2 linked regions of the Tamandua tetradactyla genome follow. The protein of the gene in region 1 interacts with the protein of each later gene in a pairwise test. Links are inferred from orthologs where the notes say so. Each region holds a gene or a part of one and is shown in the gene's direction. Other genes may lie near its edges.

Region 1 (9,606 bases):
GGAGCTGTACTCGGGGGTGGCCGCAGACCTCATGGGCCGGGACTTTACCATCTTCCGCAGCCTGGGCCGCAGGCCGAGCCTCCGCACAGAGCCACACGACTCCCGCTGGCTCAATGGTGAGAGGCTGTTGGGACGGGCAGTGAGCAGCGGCCCTCACACCTGCACAGGGTGGTGCTGAGCAAGGCCCAGGGAGCGAGTGAGCAATGGATGCAGCCATTTCTCACTGAATACCTACCAGGCACCAGGCCCCAAGCCAGGGGACCCAGGCAGACAAGACAGGTGTGATCTGTGCCCTGGTGAGCACAGAGACTTCATAACAAACACATAAGATCAGTTCCAGTGGCCATGGGGCCAAGGAGAGAACAGAGAGGAGGGGAAAGAAGTTGGAGGAGTGTGCTAAGGGGGAGTGTGAACTAACTCCCAAAGCACAAGAGAGCCATACAGGAGAACTGAGGGAAGAACATTCCAGGCAGAGGAAATGGTTAGTGCAAAGGCCCCGAGGCAGGGACAGACTCTTGGAAGGAGCAGGGGTAAAGGACCAGGACTGTGAGGGGCCAGGGTAGTTTATTCTAGGAACAATGGGATGGAAAGGGAAGCTTTGAAGCAGAGTGGACTTCCTGGTGAGGGGGATTCATGACTGAAGTAGAAACTGGACTCTCCACCTCCCTCTTTTCCTGGCCCTTAGACCTGGGGAACAGAAAAGGGTTAAATCTTTGGCCTCCTGGGGTCCCCTTCCGCTTGCACAGGGAGCCACGGTCTCTGCTTCCCCCTCGTGGCTATCGCGTACATTGCAGGCCCTGCCCCTTTGGATTGGGTGGGTTCCCGGGCTGCCCCGAAGATGCTGCTCCCAGGACTCCCGCCGGCACCTGGGGGTGGATGGGCAGCAGGCGGGTCCCATAACGGAGGTGGAGAGGGGCCAGAACTCCCTGACCCTGTGCCTCTTACTGCTGCCAGAGCCCAAGTTCGTCAAGGTCTTTTGGATCCCAGAGAGCGAGAACCCGGACGATGACAAGATCTACTTCTTCTTCCGTGAGTCTGCGGTGGAGGCGGCGCCGGCACTAGGACGCCTCTCTGTGTCCCGCGTCGGTCAGATCTGCCGGGTGAGGAGTCGCCGGACCGTGCTGTACCACCCAGCCCCACCCGCTTTCCCACCCGGCCCGCGCTTATCCCCTCTGCTCAACCCCACAGAATGATGTGGGTGGCCAGCGCAGCCTGGTCAACAAGTGGACAACGTTTCTGAAGGCGCGTCTGGTGTGCTCGATACCTGGTGCTGAGGGCGACACCCATTTCGATCAGCTCCGTGAGTGCCCGGAGTGGGGAATGAGTGGGGAGTGGAGGGCGGGGGTGCAGACCCCCTGAGTAGGGCCTGCCCAGCCCAGCTGTGCGCCCTCCCTCAACCAAGCCCATTCCTTGCAGAAGATGTGTTCCTTCTGCCCTCGCGGGACCGCCGAAGCCCTCTGCTTTATGCTGTTTTCACCACGTCCAGGTCTGGGTAGTGAGGGGCTCTGGGGTGGGGTGCTAGAGGGCACCAGGGGCCAGATGGGCTGGGCTAGGTTCAAACCCACGCCCCCTGTCCCTGCCCTGGTCTTTGCCTGCAGCGGAGTCTTCCAGGGCTCAGCCGTGTGTGTGTACAGCATGAACGACGTGCGCCGGGCTTTCCTGGGACCCTTTGCCCACAAGGAAGGTCCCATGCACCAGTGGGTGTCCTACCAGGGCCGCGTCCCCTATCCCCGACCTGGCATGGTGCGTGGGCCAGGGACTCCTGCCACAACCGACTCCAAAGCCTCAGGGCTGGAGAATTCAGCCCAGGGTCTTCTTGGTGAATGTGTTTGCCTCTTTTTGATAAGGGTCGGAAAAGGTCAATGTCACCAGAGCTCCTCAGGGGTGGGCCATGCTTTTCCCCTCAGCACCCCAGGGCAGGGCTGGATATCCTCTCTCACATGCCCAGGGCAGGTCTCTCTCTTCCCCCACCCCCCCTCCCAAGTCCCCTGTAGACCTTCATGAGGGGCTGCCCACCAGGCCCCCATACCCACACCCCTGCTGTGTCCCCCTGTCCAGTGTCCCAGCAAGACCTTTGGCACCTTCAGTTCTACCAAGGACTTCCCAGATGATGTCATCCAGTTTGCCCGGACCCACCCTCTCATGTACAACTCAGTCCTGCCCATGGCAGGGCGCCCTCTCTTCCTGCAAGTGGGTGCTGGATACACCTTCACCCAGATTGCCGCTGACCGTGTGGCCGCTGCCGATGGACATTATGACGTCCTCTTCATTGGCACAGGTGCGGGCCCTGCCACGCCCACCCATAGGCTCTCATTCAGGCTCCTTGGCCTGGCAGTAGAAGCTCTTCCTGTTCAGTTCCACCTCCATAACCTTTGGGCTGTGTTTCCTTCTCCTCCTGGCTGCTGCCTTGGTTGCTCCAGCTCACGCCCTCCACAGATCCAGCCGTACTAAGGGCCAGGCCTCTGAAGCCCCTGCCCTGGCTAGCAGGGAACACCAGGGAGCACTCACCCCTTCTCATCCCTCCAGATGCAGGCACAGTGCTGAAAGTGATCTCGGTCCCCAAAGGTGGCAGGCCGAGCGCAGAGGGCCTGCTCCTGGAGGAGCTGCATGTGTTTGAGGTGAGGTCTTGCTCTAAGTCCTCCTAGGCCCCCCCAACCCACTGAGGCCTGATCCCCCCCACCCCTTCTCCCTCTTAGGATGCTGCCGCTGTCACCAGCATGCAGATCTCTTCCAAGAGGGTGAGTGACCACAAGGATGTGTGTGGGATGGACTGAGCTTGTGCCCGGGGAGCCCCCACCTCTCAAGCCTCCCTTGGTAGTCCGCAGCCCCAGACTCTAGAGTAGGCTCTGCCTTCCCTACACTGCGTAACCTAAGTGAGACCTCAGTGCTCCCAACCGTTAAGAGCGGGGAGGATCTCTGACTGGTGGGAGGCGGGTGCAGGGCCGCCCTCGGTCAGCGCGGAGCCCCTTGTGCCGCCCCCAGCACCAGCTGTACGTAGCCTCGCGGAGCGCGGTGGCCCAGATCGCGCTCCACCGCTGCGCCGCCCACGGCCGCGCCTGCGCCGAATGCTGCCTGGCGCGTGACCCCTACTGCGCCTGGGATGGGGCCACTTGCACGCGCTTCCAGCCCAGTGCCAAGAGGTGGGCGGGGACGGGGACGGGGATGGGGGCGGACCTCCGGGCAGGAGCTGGAGGGTCTTTCGTGGCCAGGAATGGAAGAAGGACTCACTGCCTTCCACTTTCCCCTCAGGAGGTTCCGGCGGCAAGACATAAGGAACGGCGACCCCAGCACGCTGTGTTCCGGGGGTGAGTGTCCCGGGGCCCTTATCCTTCAGACCCTCTCGGCCTTGCGGGGCCTGAATCGGACCCTTCCCTTGCCCCAGACCTGTCCCGCCCGGCACTGCTGGAACGGAAAGTGTTTGGCGTGGAGGGCGGCAGCGCCTTCCTGGAGTGTGAGCCCCGTTCGCTGCAGGCGCGCGTGGAATGGACTTTCCAGAGTGTGGGGAAGGCGGTCCACACCCAGGTGAGCCTCACTCCACCCCTCCCAACCGGCTCCCTGTTCCGTCACCCACATCTACGAGAGGCCCTTCCAGGCCTAATGAGGCCCTTGATTTGCCTTCCCCATGTAGGCGAAGTTCCACCCGTCTAGGCCCCATACGCGTCGCGTCCAATTTGGTCCCTTACCTGCCCCTCACATCCGGGTGAGGACCCGTTCCTTCCAACTAGGCTCCTGGTAGACCCGTCCACTGAGGTCTTTGACGTAGCCCCCTACGTTCAGGTGAACCGTGCCCATCAGCCTTCAAGTGTGCACCTGCGGGCACGCTTTGCCCTCTCCCGCTCGGCCCCTGATGTCCCTATGCCTCTCTGTTCCTCTCTCCGATGGGGATCCCTCTTCCGGGCACCGACGCCCCAGCCTCACATCCGCCCCACCCGCAGGTACCCGCCGAGGATCGCGCCGAGCGTACGGCGCAGGGGCTGCTACTGCGCAGGCTGCGGCGCGGGGACTCAGGACTGTACCTCTGCGCGGCGGTAGAGCAGGGCTTCTCGCAGCCTCTGCGTCGCCTGTCACTGCACGTGCTGAGCTCCGCGCAGGCCGAGCAGTTAGCACGGCCCGAGGAGGCTGTGCCCGCTGCGCTGCCGGGCCCCAAGCTCTGGTACCGAGACTTCCTGCAGCTGGTGGAGCCCGGTGGCGGCGGCCCGAGCTCCTTGCGCATGTGTCGCTCACCGCCCGCGCAGCGTCTGCCATCCCCGGAATCGAGGAGGAAAGGCCGCAACCGGAGGACTCACAGCCCCGAGCAGCGCGCGGAACGGGGGCCACGCAGCGCGGCCCATTGATGACATGGGCATTTCCATGCCGAGGACTTGCAGGGCGGGAGAGGGGAAGGATAGGCCCTGGGACGCGGAGAAGGACAGATCTGGGCTGGGGTCACTGTGGATTCCAGCCGACTGCAACACCGACAGGCTCTGGCCGAGGGGCAGCTGCACAGGCTTATTTATTAACAGATGATAAAAAACCCTTGAATGTAGCCCCGGAGGCGTGGCCCAGGCTGGGTGCTGAGTCTGGCAAGTCAGGAGGGGGTAGACAAGCGGGGCTGGTTAGAACCAGCCACAAGGGCTGGGGAGGTGTCTGTTGTGCCCACCCTGGGAGACCCCTTCTTGAGCAGCCAGCAGGAAGCTGTGAATAGGCCAGGCTGCTGGGGACAGGGGTGGGACAGGCCGACTGTACTAAAACAATGCAATAAACATATTATCAGCCAAAGCTACACTGGCCCCAGTGGGCAGCCTCTCGTCCTAGTACTTACTATGTGGCCTTGGTCATCTTCCCACCAATCTCAGCTTTTCCTTCTGTCCAAGGATGCCTGGTGAGAATTAAAGGTGTTTCCATGTGACCAAGCAGGTTCTGCAGGGCCTTTGGGGATACAGTATATGCTGAATAACATAATTTCATGGCTAAGTGCTATGAAGAAAATAAAACTGAGTATTGTGGAAGAGTGTGAACAGAAGACCTCACTGAAGGGTGACATTTGAGCTTAATGACAAGGACCCAGCCAAGGGGATATTTGGGGCAGAGCATTCCAGAAGAAAGGAACAGCTAGTGCAAAGGTTGTGCGGTAGAAATGAACTTGCCATTGTTAAAGCTGCTGTGTGACACAGTGGAGTGATAGATTTTACATGCTTTAGGAAGTAGAGCCTATGGGTTTCTACTAGTTAGGAAGGAGAGATACACAAAGGCTAGAAAGGGTGGCTCCTTTACTCAAGTTTATAAACTAATAGCAGTTCCAGCTTTCAATCTAGATATGCGGACTGCGCAGCATGGATATCCGTATATGTGGGGAATCTCTGCCCCCTTGTGGTTCCTCAGAGACCAGCTGCCTTCAGCCCCTGCTCTACTATAGGGACATGGTGGAGGTTGTTTGTTGCATGTTTGCTGGGGGAGTACCAGTGTGCTGTGGGTGGAGGTTTGCAGGGTGGAGATGCACAGAGTTCCCTTGCATGTCTTGGCTGTTGTGTGGGGGCATTGCTGGAGGCTGAGCCCTAGAGGCAGCCAGTTTGGATGCAGTCTCTGGAGCCCGTGCATGTATAGGATGGTGTACATTTCTGAAAAGGACCTGGGTACATGCACTAGTGGAGGCGTGCCTGGCCTGGGCTCCTTCACTGGGAGGATAGTCTAGGCTGGCCCATGTCAGTCACTCTGCCACTTCCCAGGACTGAGAGCTGCCCTGTCTAAATATAGCCTGGTGGGCTGAGCTCAGGCCTATTTTAAGCCCCTACTGGGAGGAGGCCAGGCCTTCCCTAGGCTCTCAGGAGCCACTGCTGTCTCCATCCAGTCCTGCTACTGGACACAGTCACCGGCTCCAACTGCGTACCATGCCTGAGGAGGCGCAAGAAGGTAGGAGGGTGTCCACGAGGGGAGGGCAAGGACTCTGTCCTGTGACTCTGTGAACCGTGGAGAAACCCACCCCTGCCCTACTGACTTCACTTCCTTGGCAGGTCATAGTGTCCATGTCCCAGCTTGAGTAAAGGGACCTGTCTCTGTGATAGAGGGGGGGCACACCATGCCTGGAACCCCTCCTCATCATAGGCCCTGCCTCAGCTTCCCTTGGTGGGAACAGCAGGGAAGGATTAGGGGGACTGCCCAGTTGGGGGCAGGTCAGCTATGGGCTATGTCCAAGCGGGTTTAGGCATCCAGGCAGTTCAGCTCTTCCTTCAGGGAGAAAGCTGGGGCTGAAGGTAGGCAGTGTTTGCAGGAAGCACATGGGTACCTGGCTGGGGGGCTAGGCATAGACAGGCCTCTGTCTTCCCCCAACTTGGATCTCAGTGTCCTCAACTCACTGACAGTCAGGGTCCCTTGGCTGGCCGGATTGACTCAGCTAGTTAAGTCCTTAGTGGTCACTCACCTAGCTGTCCCACTGCATGCAAGAGGAATGGAGGCTTAGAGAGGCTGAGCACTAAGGACACACGTGTGCAGCTTCCTTCAGGTGAGGTGCCAGCCAGGATGCAGGACCAGATGCATCATGGCTCTAGCTTATGGCTCAGTTTGATCCAGCTGGTCAACTACCCCCTTCCCACCCCTGCATAGATTTTCATCCATTTTCAAAAGGATAGGAGGTGCCTGGCCCCTGGTGAGAGGGTAATGTCTGCCTCATTTTGGGGTCATAACAATAGCATTTACCATGTGTTCCTCCTGGTAACAAACAGAATCCATGTTTCTTTTAGAAAGTGTGAGAAAAGCAACGTGAAAAGAGAATTTAACATGACCCCCAACCCACCTCTCAGACATAATGACTGGCACAGTCTGTTTCTGTTAACTTGCTTTTGGGCATTTCAATGGGCAGTTTTCAAACTAATCAAATGTTGAGCTACTGTTCTGAGAGTAAGCTCTGGAGTGCGCCAGGTACCCCTATTCCCAGAGTGGTTATTTTCCCAATGAACCACTGCCTGCCCTCTCCTTACACTACCTAGCTTTTAGCTGGACATCTGGAGGTCTCAAAGGCCTAAGATTAAAAAGCTTAAAAAAAAAAAAATCCAAAAAGAGCAATAATAAAAAAAAAACAGAATGAAATACTTAGAAATCACAAAATAAACACTTCTATGGATCCAAAAATAATTCAAGTTATAAGAAAAATACACAGACCTCAGTTGACTAAATTCATAGAGGCTTTGAATAGATAATTCCTGATCAGGAAGCCACAAACATAATAATGACCAGGCCCCCTGGACAAAGAAACTCAAATACTAAGAAAGGCCTTTTCTCTTTTCTCGAAGTCACAAACATGTGCTTGTGTATGCAAACATTTCTTTCAACGGGGATGCCTAATGCTGACGATGCTATCTCTACCCTGTTGAGGGTTCCGGCCAGTCATTCTGGAGCACAGCCAGCCATTGCCCTTCGATCCAGTAATTCTACTTCTGGGAATTTATCCTTACTAACTATTGAGAAATTGGGGGAAAACCTTCATGCTCAATGATGGATGTTGTTCTGGGACATCCAAAAGGAATTGGAAACAACCTTAAAGTCCAGGCAGCCTCAAAGCGATGTCTGAAGAGAGAGCTCAGGGCATGTGAGTCTGATAACAAAGAGTGCTCTCCTGCCAGGATGGTGAGTGAACAGAGGGGTTCACCTAAGTACAGCACAATCCTGCACTGAGTAGGTTAAAGAATGCAGAACTAGGCCAGGAGGGAAAGGCATCACAGAGGCTTGAGGGGGGCTGCCTTTGCATGGGGCAGAGGAGGTGCCAGGCACTGGGTCTGGCCTGACAGCTAACCTACAGGGCCTGCAGGAAAAAAACAATAGAAGAAGCAGGACTAAATTCCATGCACTGTGGTTGAAGTCCTGCAAGGTTGATAAACTATGCAGTAGAAATGAGCAAGCAAAGGAACATGAGAAAATCCTTGAGGCGTCCAAAGGGAAACAAATATGAGGAATGTAAACGGGCCTCTTGCCAATGGAAGTTTGGGGTCACCCAGGCACTCAACTAAGGGTCACCCCTGAGTCCATCTTAGGCAATTCATAGCCAAACGCCCCACTGTCTCCATCATGCCCGAGGTCCCCTGGGGAGGAGGAAAGGGGTGAATTGTGGCTGAGTCTGCCCCCTGCTGCCCCTGCAGACATCATGGTGCCGACACTGAGCCCCAGGAGCAGGGCGACACTGGCCCCCAACCACCTGCAGGAGGTGTGCCTGCACCGGGTAGAGTCCATCAGCGACCTACACAGCGGAGGTGAGGGCGGCAGGTGCGGGGGGCGGGGGGGGAAGATGCATTGGGGGAGGGGAGGAAAGCAGGCACACCCACTGCCAACCCCCCATGTCCCATCTGCCCTGCAGGCTCACTGCATCCCTTCCTGGCCGAGGAGGCGCGGCCATGGGACGAGCTGCTGGGGGTCTTGCCCCCATCCCTGTGCACCCAGGCGGGCTGCAGCCCTGTGCACGGCCGCCGGGGGTTCCTGCTGCTGCTCATGCTGCTGGTGCTCACCTGCCTGGCGCTCGCCGTCCTGGCCGTCTACCTGAGCGGTATGGAAGGCGTGTGGCACCAGTGGGCACCAAGGGGAAGGAAGTGGGACCTGCAGGCCTTTATGTGCAGTTGGAGGGTACAGCTGCTCAGGCAGCGGCAGTGGGGGGGGGGGGGATTCCTAGGCAGCCCCTGGTGCTGGGCTGGGTCGAGTAGGGAGGGGTCACTGGGTAGCACATGGCCTGACAACCACCCCCAACCCCTGCCGCTCATCTGCAGTGCTGCAGAGTGAATCCCTGCGCATGCTGGCGCACACACTGAGCACTCAGGAGGAGACGCTACTCAAACTTCGGCTCGCCAGCCTCAGCCAGCTGCGGAGGCTCAACTCCAGCCAGGCCCAAATGCCCAGTTGAAGTGCTGCCAGGACCTGGGGCCTGGGTATATGAGGGTGGAATAAAGAGGTCATTGGCAGGCCTCTCTTCCCCGGCTGCTACTATGGCTAAACTACTTCCTTGGAGAGATTTTTATAAAGAATCCAATCTGACCCCACAGCTACCTCCCTCTCCTGACCTCTTCCAGCTAGACCTAGCCAAGCCTGATGCTAAGACCCGGCTTTGGGTTTCCAAGGTCAGAGGAGGGGGCACCAGCTCATGGCCCAGTCAGCACCCCCGAACACCCTTAAATAACAGATCAGAAGTCCAGAAATAGCTGTCTCCCACTCGATTACCTAACCTTGGCCAGGTCTCCCAGTGGGAGTCTAGCCTCAGCTCCCAAAGACAGGTTGGGTTCTGAGTAGGAGGAGTTCACCCTTAGAGGGCAAAGATGAGATGGAGGAGACCTAGCTGGGCCCAAGTCTAGAGTGATGAATTGGGAGAGGGGGAGGCAGGGAGAAATATCCAGGAGCCAGGACCACATAAGGCTGAGCATTCTGTTTAATTATCTCTAATAATCTTATAACAATCAGCACATATATCCATTCCAGGTCCTTACCTCCCCATCTGCTGCCCAGAGGCTCTACTGGCCCCTCCCCCAAAGAAATGGGTCACCCTAGGGGAGCAAGGGCAGGAAGAGAAAGGAAAGGACAGCCCCATCACCCTCACCGCATGCCCCTGCCTGTCCCACAGCCTTAGGGCAGACACACAGCTGGCTCGGCCTAAGA
Region 2 (9,716 bases), on another chromosome or scaffold:
CATGTGTCTGCACCCACAAGATTGGATTAAAAGAGCTTTGCTTTTCTGGGGTATATAAGTTTGAAACTGGCATAGAAACCCAAGTGCTAATAACTGAAATAATAAAAATTCAGCATCTTTATGAGTTGACTGATACTTGAATCCTTTCTATAGCCCTATAACTTCCTCCTCAGTTTAGAAACCTTTAGGGGATAAGATACAGGGCTGAAGTGAGCTCAGGATAAAGGCTTTCTCACTCCGGAGAATACTAAACTCCTTTGCAATTACTTTTGGTTTGCTAGGTAAGAAATATTTCTTGACTTAAAAATGTAAATTTCTTTAGTTATTTCTATCTGATATAGCAACATGTCCTAGATTTTCTGGATTAGACCTGATTGCAGATTTTCTCTTTTGATGCATCCTGGATAATAAATGATAAGGGTCAACAGGACCTGACAGACCCCAGTGAGCCCATCAGCTTAGGCCAGCCTCAGCATGTAGCAGTGATTATTCTGAGAAAGACACAAGTGAAATCTCAACTTGCACCAGATTTAAACAGGCCTCTTGTCCAAGTATCGTTCAGGCACTGCTAAAAATGAAAGTCCTCTGATTATTTCATACTCCAGTTCTATAGTGATATACTTTCTCAAGCCTTACCCACCTCCCTCCTCTCTGTCCCAGGATTAAAGTTTTTCTTCCCTTTTACTGTTTCTGCAGCCTCTGCTACAACACACTTGATGAAGAAATACCTATTCTGAGAGCTTTGCTAAGTGTTCTTTTCTCTTTGTTTTTACTGAAACCTAGCTTTCAGGACCCCCCTTCCATGGATCTTTTAAATGAAGGTTGTTTGACACAGAGGAGAATTACACAGTTTATCTTTTGCATGCTGCTGCTGCACCATTTCTCTTAATCCAAAAAAAATCCCCCTTGAAACTCATTCATTCCTCAAATCAGCAAGCTTTGACAAAGTTAGGTGCTTCCACGTACACAATTTTCTTATTTCAGTTCCATGCCAGCTCTTAAGCAATAGCACTGTTTTTTTAAGGAAAAATGGGGACAAAAGAAGTAAAGAATAGCAAGTAGCAAAGCTGGAATTTGAACCCACTGTACTGTGCTTTCTTTCAGCAGGGCTAAATGCTGTAGATGGGTCAAGTAAGACAGAGTCAGAAATATCTATTGGAATTTTCAAGAGGTTGTTGGTGACCTAGCAGTTTCAGTGGCATGATGGGATAAAAGCCAGATGAAGTCGATTAAAGAGTGAATGGGAAGTGAAGAAGTAGTGAATGGTGTGCGTCAACCACTCTTTTTTTAAAAAGCTTATCTGTAATGGGCAGGGGAACATACCTGTTGATAGCTGGAGCATGGTGCTAGATTGTGGGAGATATTAAGAGAGAGCCTGTGGGAGAAGGAACCATAAAAAAAAATATGGTATAGGTATGGATATCACCATTTTACAGGCAATGGAACAGATTAAAGAAATCACATTTCTTGTCAAAGTCACAGGCAGGGTGAGTGGATATCCATGTAATTCTAGAATTTATGTTTTTTCCAATCATTATATACTGTGTCTGCTGGAAGCGAAAGGGACTGAGTAGATGTGGGGTAGGCAGCTAGAATGGTCTTGCCCCTTCACCTTTCTTGAAGGCTCCATCACCTTTCTGTTGTCTCTGTCTAGCAGCTATTCCCTTTCTGCTTGTTCTTCCATATTCATGATTTCATCAAAGAATTGAGCAGCCGGTTTTCTTTTCGTACCCAAGTTCCATGACCTTTCTGGGTGGTTTTACGCATTTGGAAAACCATATCCTCTATTTGTTCTAGAGACTGTTACTTCCATTTCACTTGGACCACTCTCTCATAGTTATACCTTAGGAATTGTTTTCTGGCAGAATTTTCAACTCTGAAATCTTTAACTCTGATGTGACTTCTCTTTTTCTTAATAATCCTACTCCTTGGCCTCTTGGAGATTTCTAGTGGCTGGGACCCTATATGACTCTTGAAGTTTGTCAAGTGCTGTTGAAATTCTTTTTAAAAAGTCACAGCAGTGTGGTTTTGCCATTACTATGTATCCAAACTCAGTTGTGCCTTTAAGTCTGCCACAATCAGACAAATTCTGTACCCTTACGTATAGAATGGCACCTTTAATAAATCTGTACATATCTCAGGTATGGAGGTTTCACTTGAAACCATGTTGTTAATTCATCTTAACATTTATATGTCTATTTAGAAATTGTGTTTACCTAAATTCTTCTCTTTGGGCCGTTTTATTACTTCCTATAATTTTGATTCTTTTGTTGACTAGGAACGAGATTTTCCAACAGAAACTGTTAAATTTGGTCCTGAACGCATGTATATTGATTGCTGGGTAAAAAAACATACCTATGATACTTTTAAGGAGGTTCTTGCATCTGGGATGCAGTATCACTTGCAGGTAAATGAGTGACATACTTTCTATTTTTGCTTTTAAATTAGGAAGCAGTTTTGAATGTCATTTAATTGGCTTTTGAATATCCAGAAAACAGTACCATAAATCTGATTTTGAAAGTAAAACTGAATAAATATGAAAGTGAATTTTTTGTTTTTTTAGTTGTGTAAGTCTGATGGACCACCTTTAATTTAAACCTCTGCTATTGATGTCCTTATGTAAAAGCAAATAGCTTGGCATAGCTTTCTTGGATTCAAGGCATTGAAAGCAATTTGGTCCCATACTGAAAAACAGGAAATAAGTGAGCTTAGCCTAGTCCATATTTGAAGGTTCCACATAACTTCTTTGAGTCAGATTCTCTTTATGTATTGAAAAGTCCTATGATATTTAATACTGAATCTTAGCACCTTTTTCTGTTTTACATAAGTCAAATGAATTCCTTCGCAATGTATTTGAACTTGGACCCCCGGTGATGCTTGATGCTGCAGCTCTTAAAACAATGAAGATTTCTCGTTTTGAAAGGGTAGGTTTTTTTGTTGTTGTTGTTAGTTTTTTTTTTTTATTGGGTTTGTTTTTGACCAAAACTAAAGGCACCAAAGAAAAGTGGTGCCAAAGCTTTGATCCTACCAGGTGACAGGCATTCTGTCCAAATGTGAAATTCTAGTTTTTCATGATATTTGAAACATAGAATGGCTATACTGAAAATGCAGAAGCATTTAGATTGTGGGAGGTTTTCAATGAAAAAAATTTTACCCATGAATTCTATAATCTTAACACAGAAGTTATTTTTCATTTTTTTTTCCTTTTATTCAGTGGAGTTTTGATATTTAAATGTAAGTATTTATATAATATTTCTTTTGTATCAGATGTTGAGCCTACTTCATGTCTTCATTTCTAAAATCACTAAGTGATCAGAGTTTGTAACATTAAATAGTAATTAACATCATATTTTCACTTAATATTCCAAAAACTCATAAAAAAATTTTTGTTTTCTTAAATTGAGGTAATTTTCACATAACAAAATTAACCATTTGAAAGTGTACAGTTCTCGGTGGCTTTTAGTACATTCAGTGTTGTGCAATCATCACCTTTATTTTGTTCAAAAACGTTTTTATTACCTCAGAAGGAAATCCTGTACCCATTCAGCAGCCACGTCCCATTCCCTCCTGCCCCATCCCCTAGTAACCACTAATCTGCTTTCTGCCTCTAAATTTACATATTCTGGATAGTCATATAAATGGAGTTGACAATTAGGTGACTTTTTGTGTCTGGTGTTGTCCACTTAGCATGTTTTTGAGGTTTATCCATGTTGTAGCATGTATTAGTGCTTCATTCTTTTTATGGGTAATATTTCATTGTATGGCCATTCCACATTTTGTTTATCCAGCCATTAAGTTGATGGACATATGTATTGTTCCCACCTTTTGGTGATTGTGAATAGCACTGCTGTGAACATTCGAGTGCAAGTTTTAATTTGAGTTCCTGTTTTCAGTTCTTTGGGTATATATCTAGAGTGGAATTGCTGGATTATATGGTAATTCTGTGTTTAATTTAAACTTTTCCATAGTATCTGCACCATTTTACTTTCCTACCAGCAAGTTAAAGTATTCTCATTTCTCTACATCCTCCCCAACACTTTTTTTCCATAAAAAAAAAATTTCTTATGTCCATCCTGGTGAGTGTGAAATGCTTAATTACATTTTTATATTTGTAATAATTTTATGTCCACACAATTGATATTTAAAAACTCTTTTAAAATATTAACCTTTTTACATATTTGTTTTGTTTGAATTATTTCTTAGAAGAAATCCCCTGCATGGAATATAGGGCTCGATTGTAGTTTTTTGATATGTATTGGAAATTACCTTCCAAAGTTATTCTATAATTTTTAATGTCTCTAGCAATGAATGAAGACACGTGTATTACACACAGACTTGACAGCACTGGATTTTATAATTTTAAATATTTGATAAATAGGTATTAATATGACACCCCATCATTTTTTCCCTTTTTTTTCCTTTTGAAACATTTTGTTAAATTTGGTACATATGGGAAAGCAATTAGAAATATATAGCTCAACTCAAATCCCCTGTTGATTCAAGGAGGCAGCTTTATTTTATTTAAACACCTGGTCTTTATAATACTTTGTTTTAGTTGACAGCAGGCTGACCATTTTAATTCATATTGAGGCCCTTTATTTACGTTTTTCTTAATGTATTTGATTTTTTTCTTAGTATGGCATAGCCATTAATTGTTACATGTTTAAATTCCCACACTCAAATGTTGTTTTTGTGTGTATTTTACAAGCACTTTTTTCCCCACTAAGGCACTTTATATGCATGTATGTGTTACATCACTAGAAAAAAAAACACCCTGGATTTCCACCCACCCCCACCCATGTATTTTCCTCCTGCTTCCTCATGCTCCGTAATGCCAAGTGAGGTTGTCAGTACAATGAAACCGAACTGATGGGATGCAGAGCAGATTATTTGCCATTTTTCTTAATCTTTTGAGTTGTACATCAAATCTGGGATTGATCATTCCATACTTGTGTAACCTGCCTGTGAGGTCCACAATTTTCCCAGCTCTGGAATCAACAATGATTTCAAATTCCCCAGTGTAAACATGCTTCATCATCACAATTAGAAACTGGACAGTGACTTTGGTGCACAGCCTAAAAGGAACCTAGTGTTTGGCTGTTCTTGGCATTGTTAATGCTCTTGATGGCATCAGCCAGGACATTGAGACACACCATTATGGTGGTATGGAAGGATGGCCAGAAAGAGCATTTAAAATTTTTGTAGTGTCAAATTAGTGTTTGTTTCCTTCGTGATTTTTTTTTTCTCATTTTGTAGGAGTATAAGCCTCAGTGACCCACACGTATTTTCCTTTCTTCATTTCAGCATTTATATAACTCTGCAGCCTTTAAAGCTCGAACAAAAGCTCGAAGCAAATGTCGTGATAAGAGGGCAGATGTTGGAGAATTCTTCTAGATTTTCAGCACTTGAAGACTTTCTAATTTCCTTTTGAATTTTTTTTTGTTGTTAATTTCTAATGTATTTAAACTCTTGATAGTTTTTATCTTGGGATGAACATAGATAACTTGTAGTAGGGCTTATATTACTTATAATTTAATGTACAGTATTGCAAATGGTGAGTTCTGATTATTAAGTATTCTTTGTAAATAGAATCGGTAAACATGAATAAAGTGTTTGGTCATATTCTGTTTATGAAGAGAAAAAATCTTTTTTCATTTTATTTCTCATAATGTAAAAAGCTATTATAAAAGGTTAAATTTCTAATACTATAGTTGTCAGAAATATTGATTTATAATGATGTATACATACAAGGTATAAAATTATGATCTTAGACAAATGAGTTCTGGATACACTTTTTGGGAGCATGTTCCTCTGAGAAAGCTGCTGTATTTTAAATTTTAATTGGAACATAGTTATTTTAATTTTGTCACTGGGTTGGACAAAAGGAATTAGACCTTGAGTCCTTGCAGCTGCACTTAAAGGCAATTTCAGTTCACCTATTGGGAGTTCATGATGAATTAGCATATGCCGGAAAGGTTGCTAACCTTAATCTCCAAAAGCCGTTAATTACTAATTTTATCTGCTGTGCAAGACATTGTGCTCTTTACTTTAAAATAAAAGATCTTTTCACACTTAGAGTGTTTAGTTTTTAATAGAAGAAAAATATTATGGGTTTAACATAGAGCATTCAAAATGACCAAGCCAGGTAGGGAGGGGGTGAGACAAAATCTTCATTTGCATATCTGAAAACACATTAAAGTAGCTGAAAAAATGTAGCAATATGTAATTGGTATTCAAGTTACTGACTTAAGTAGCTGAAAAAATGTAGCGATATGTAATTGGTATTCAAGTTACTGACTTAAGGATGCTGCTGCTTGGTTTTCCCATGAGGTGTTTTTTTTTTTTCATTTTAAAGAAAGTTGTAAGCATGTTGACTGATTTAATTACTGATATTACTATTAAATTTGTATAGTACCAACAATATCTACAGTTGAGAATTCATAGACTTGTTTCTTTGATATTCTTACTGCAGAAAACAGTGATAGAGGGATGGAGTGAGGGGTAGAGAAGTAGGTACCTTTTAGAAAGAAGTAGCTAGGTATTTTCCAAACTAATGTTCTTCTCCCACGTCCCTAACTCCTGGAAGGTCTGATGTGTTCCCTGCGTGAAAATCTTTGGCTGGCTTATAGTCACTTGCTGATAGGAGGGTGAGTTTCATGTTTCGGTATAGTAGAATGGAAAACAGATTTGGAATTTCTGACTTAGGTTTGTGTGTTACCACCTCCTTATATTCCAAATAGGTTAGAACCATGGGAAGGAAATTGTGAAGTGTTTTTCTAAGTTTTAAAATACATATATGTATACATATTTTTGATAAAAATGAATTTTTGTTAATGAGATATACATGGTTCAATAGTACTTCAAGGCTTATAATGAAAAAAGTTAGCTTCCTGCCCATTTTTCTACTCACTCATTTCCATCCCAGGGGACATGTAGACTTCAAGTTTTTCTAGCATCTTGGTTTCAGGTTTCTAAATAACACGCTTATAGCTCTGTATTCTAGTTTGCAAGCTGCAGGAATGCAATATACCAGAAACAGAATGGCTTTTAAAAAGGGGAATTCAATAAGTTGCTTGTTTACAGTTCTAAGGCTGAGAAAATGTCCCAATTGAAACAAATCTATAGAAATGTCCAATCTAAGGTGTCCAGAGACAGATAACCTTGGTTCAAGAAGGCCGATGAAGTTCACAGTTTCTTTCTCAAGTGGAAGCACACATGGCAAACACAGAGTCTCTCTCATATGGAAAGGCACATGGTGAACATGGTCAGGGTTCCCCTTTCATCTGGAAGGGCACATGGCGAACACCCCGTCATCTGCTAGCTTCTCCTGGCTTCCTGTTTCATGAAGCTCCCCTGGAGGCATTTTCTTTCTTCCTCTCAAAAGGTCGCTGGCTGGTGAACTCTGCTTCTCGTGGCTATGTCTTTCTGCTCTGCTCTGAATCTCATTCTCCAGAATGTTTCCTCTTTTATAGGACTTCAAAAACTAATCAAGACGCACCCAAATGGCTGGAGACATGTCTTTTACCTAATCCAGTTTAACAACCACTCTTGATTAAATCACATCTCCAGGGGGGTGATCTAATTACAGTTTCAAACATACAGTACTGAATAGGAATTAGAAGAAACAGCCGCCTTTACAAAATGAGATTAGAATTAAAACATGGCTTTTCCAGGGTACATACATCATTTCAAACCAGCACACTGTATTTCTTAGTTTTTTTTACTTTTAGACATTTGTCAACTCCCTATGAAAATGGGGGTGAATTTGTCTTTTTAACCTTTCCCATCCTCAAAAAATTTTTATTTTCTGGTTAAATCAGCAGCTTTCTTTATATTACAACCATATTTATATGTTCACTCTTGAACTCGAGTGTTTACATTTCCATTCCTGTAAAACTACTTCTGGAGTTAACAATTGTCATCTTATTTCTTGGATTTATATGCACATCACTAATTCTTCTCTTTCTTGGATTTATACACACTTATCACTAGTTCAATCCAAACAGTCCCAAATAGATTTGTGAAACTTCTGATTCTGTTTTCCATGTTGTCAAACCCTTATAATATGTTTCCTTCTTCAGTCCAATTTCTCATCCTAGTGTACTTTTGTTTTCCTGAGATCTCACTTTATCCTGGGGGTTTGTTTTCCTCCCTTCATTTTTCCTTTCCCTTAGTTTGGATCCCACATTTCCTGGATCTTTGGTCTTCTCTGTTGATATGGAGCACTTATTTCATTAGCATTCTGGGAATTGATGCATGAGAGGGACAATTATTTATTTATTTTTTAATTAGAGAAGTGGGTTTACAAAACAATCGTGCATGAAATACAAGCTCCCTGTACACCACCCCAGCACCAACACCGTGCATTGGTGTGGATTATTTGCCACAACTGATACTACATTTTAACAACTGTACTATTAGATATTTTTAAACTTAATTTTTCTGAGTAACAGTTTGCCGGGTATAAAATTCTAGGTAAAAAAATCAAGTTTGGAATTTTGAAGACCTTGTTTCATTGTTTTCTAAAGAACAATAAAACAATAAATAAATAAAAACAAGAAATAAAAAACAGTAAAGTGATACTGAGATGCCTGATGAAATTTTTATTTCTAAATTCTAGTGATTTTTTTTCCTTTCTTGAAGTTCTTAGAGTCTATGTTCTAAAATTGCATGAAATGTGCTTTGGTGAGCTTTTTAATTCCTCCTCCATGCCCCCCGTCTCCAAGTTTTCTTTCTTTTGGAACTCCATGAAATTCATTCTTGTGGTTTTTGTAATTTTTAATACTAATCTGCCTTTTGGGAGGCAGAGGAGATAAGTGTTTTAATTGGCAACTCTGCTTAGTAAATAGAAATGGGGCCTTTTATTCACAAAGCTAAAGAAGATCGCTAGACAAAGATTATTGGGGATTCAGTGTTTAAGAATGCTTGAGGAAAAGAAAATGCATGAATTTTCTTGAAAGTAAGATTGGTGTGTGATAGATCAATTGTTTGCTTGATTTTTGGTTAATCTTGCTGGTTTGAAGGAATTTAAATGGTCCCTGCCTCATAAGCTTTTCATTTTGAGGCTCAAGATCAATTTTGAAGCAGTATTTGTGACTCGTCTTTGATGGCATTTACTGAATTTCCTGGGAGTTGAATCTAGATATGGCAAAATAGAATGTAAGAAATATTTGGAAATGTCCCCAGATTGAACATATGAGAATATTTTTGTCTGTGACCCAAGCTCTATCAAGTGCATAATAGCTAAAATGAGGTAGATTATCTTGCTTTGATCTTAAGTAGTTCTCCAGATGTCTAGTCACAAACTGTAAGTTTCTTGCCCCTCATGGGGTAAAAGTATGGTTGAATTCAGCTCTGCCACTTGCTACCTGTGTTTCTTCAGACAAATTCCTTAGTTCCCATTTTCCTCATCCCTAAAGAGGGGGTTAATACTTCAAAGATGTAAGATTACAACAGAGAAAAAACATGGGAAATGCTCAAAATGACGCTAATACTGCTTCAAAGGACAGATATTTTAAGACAGACCAGGTAGTTGAAAGATTCTTTTAACTGGCCATGATCATTAAAATAATAGCTAATACAAAAAAATTATAGTTAACATGAACATTTTCACTCTTCCGAGAAATTTGGCATAGTTCTTTTTGAGAAAACATTTGCTAGTTCATTGTCTTCTTCCTTGAATTTGTCCTTTTCCCCAAAAGGAGTGTAAGATCCAT

The links.
Region 2: the proteins of LSMEM2 (region 1) and LSMEM1 interact in binary tests that used the Homo sapiens proteins (3 or more experiments, as listed by UniProt). The two-hybrid records come from large-scale screens. The link is inferred for Tamandua tetradactyla from reciprocal best matches to the Homo sapiens genes LSMEM2 and LSMEM1.

The regions. Positions count from the first base shown.
Region 1 is NC_135341.1:35,808,977-35,818,582, reverse strand, and holds the start of LSMEM2 (leucine-rich single-pass membrane protein 2), read left to right. Parts: upstream 1-5,785; 5' UTR 5,786-5,867; coding exon 5,868-5,889; intron 5,890-8,108; coding exon 8,109-8,219; intron 8,220-8,323; coding exon 8,324-8,509; intron 8,510-8,726; coding exon 8,727-8,860; 3' UTR 8,861-9,606. Other genes in the region: SEMA3B (semaphorin-3B), read left to right, coding at 1-116, 955-1,100, 1,189-1,300, 1,417-1,486, 1,599-1,743, 2,059-2,278, 2,527-2,618, 2,697-2,738 and 4 more.
Region 2 is NC_135327.1:151,802,895-151,812,610, forward strand, and holds the start of LSMEM1 (leucine-rich single-pass membrane protein 1), read left to right. Parts: upstream 1-5,738; 5' UTR 5,739-9,716. Other genes in the region: IFRD1 (interferon-related developmental regulator 1), read left to right, coding at 2,279-2,407, 2,829-2,924, 5,305-5,394.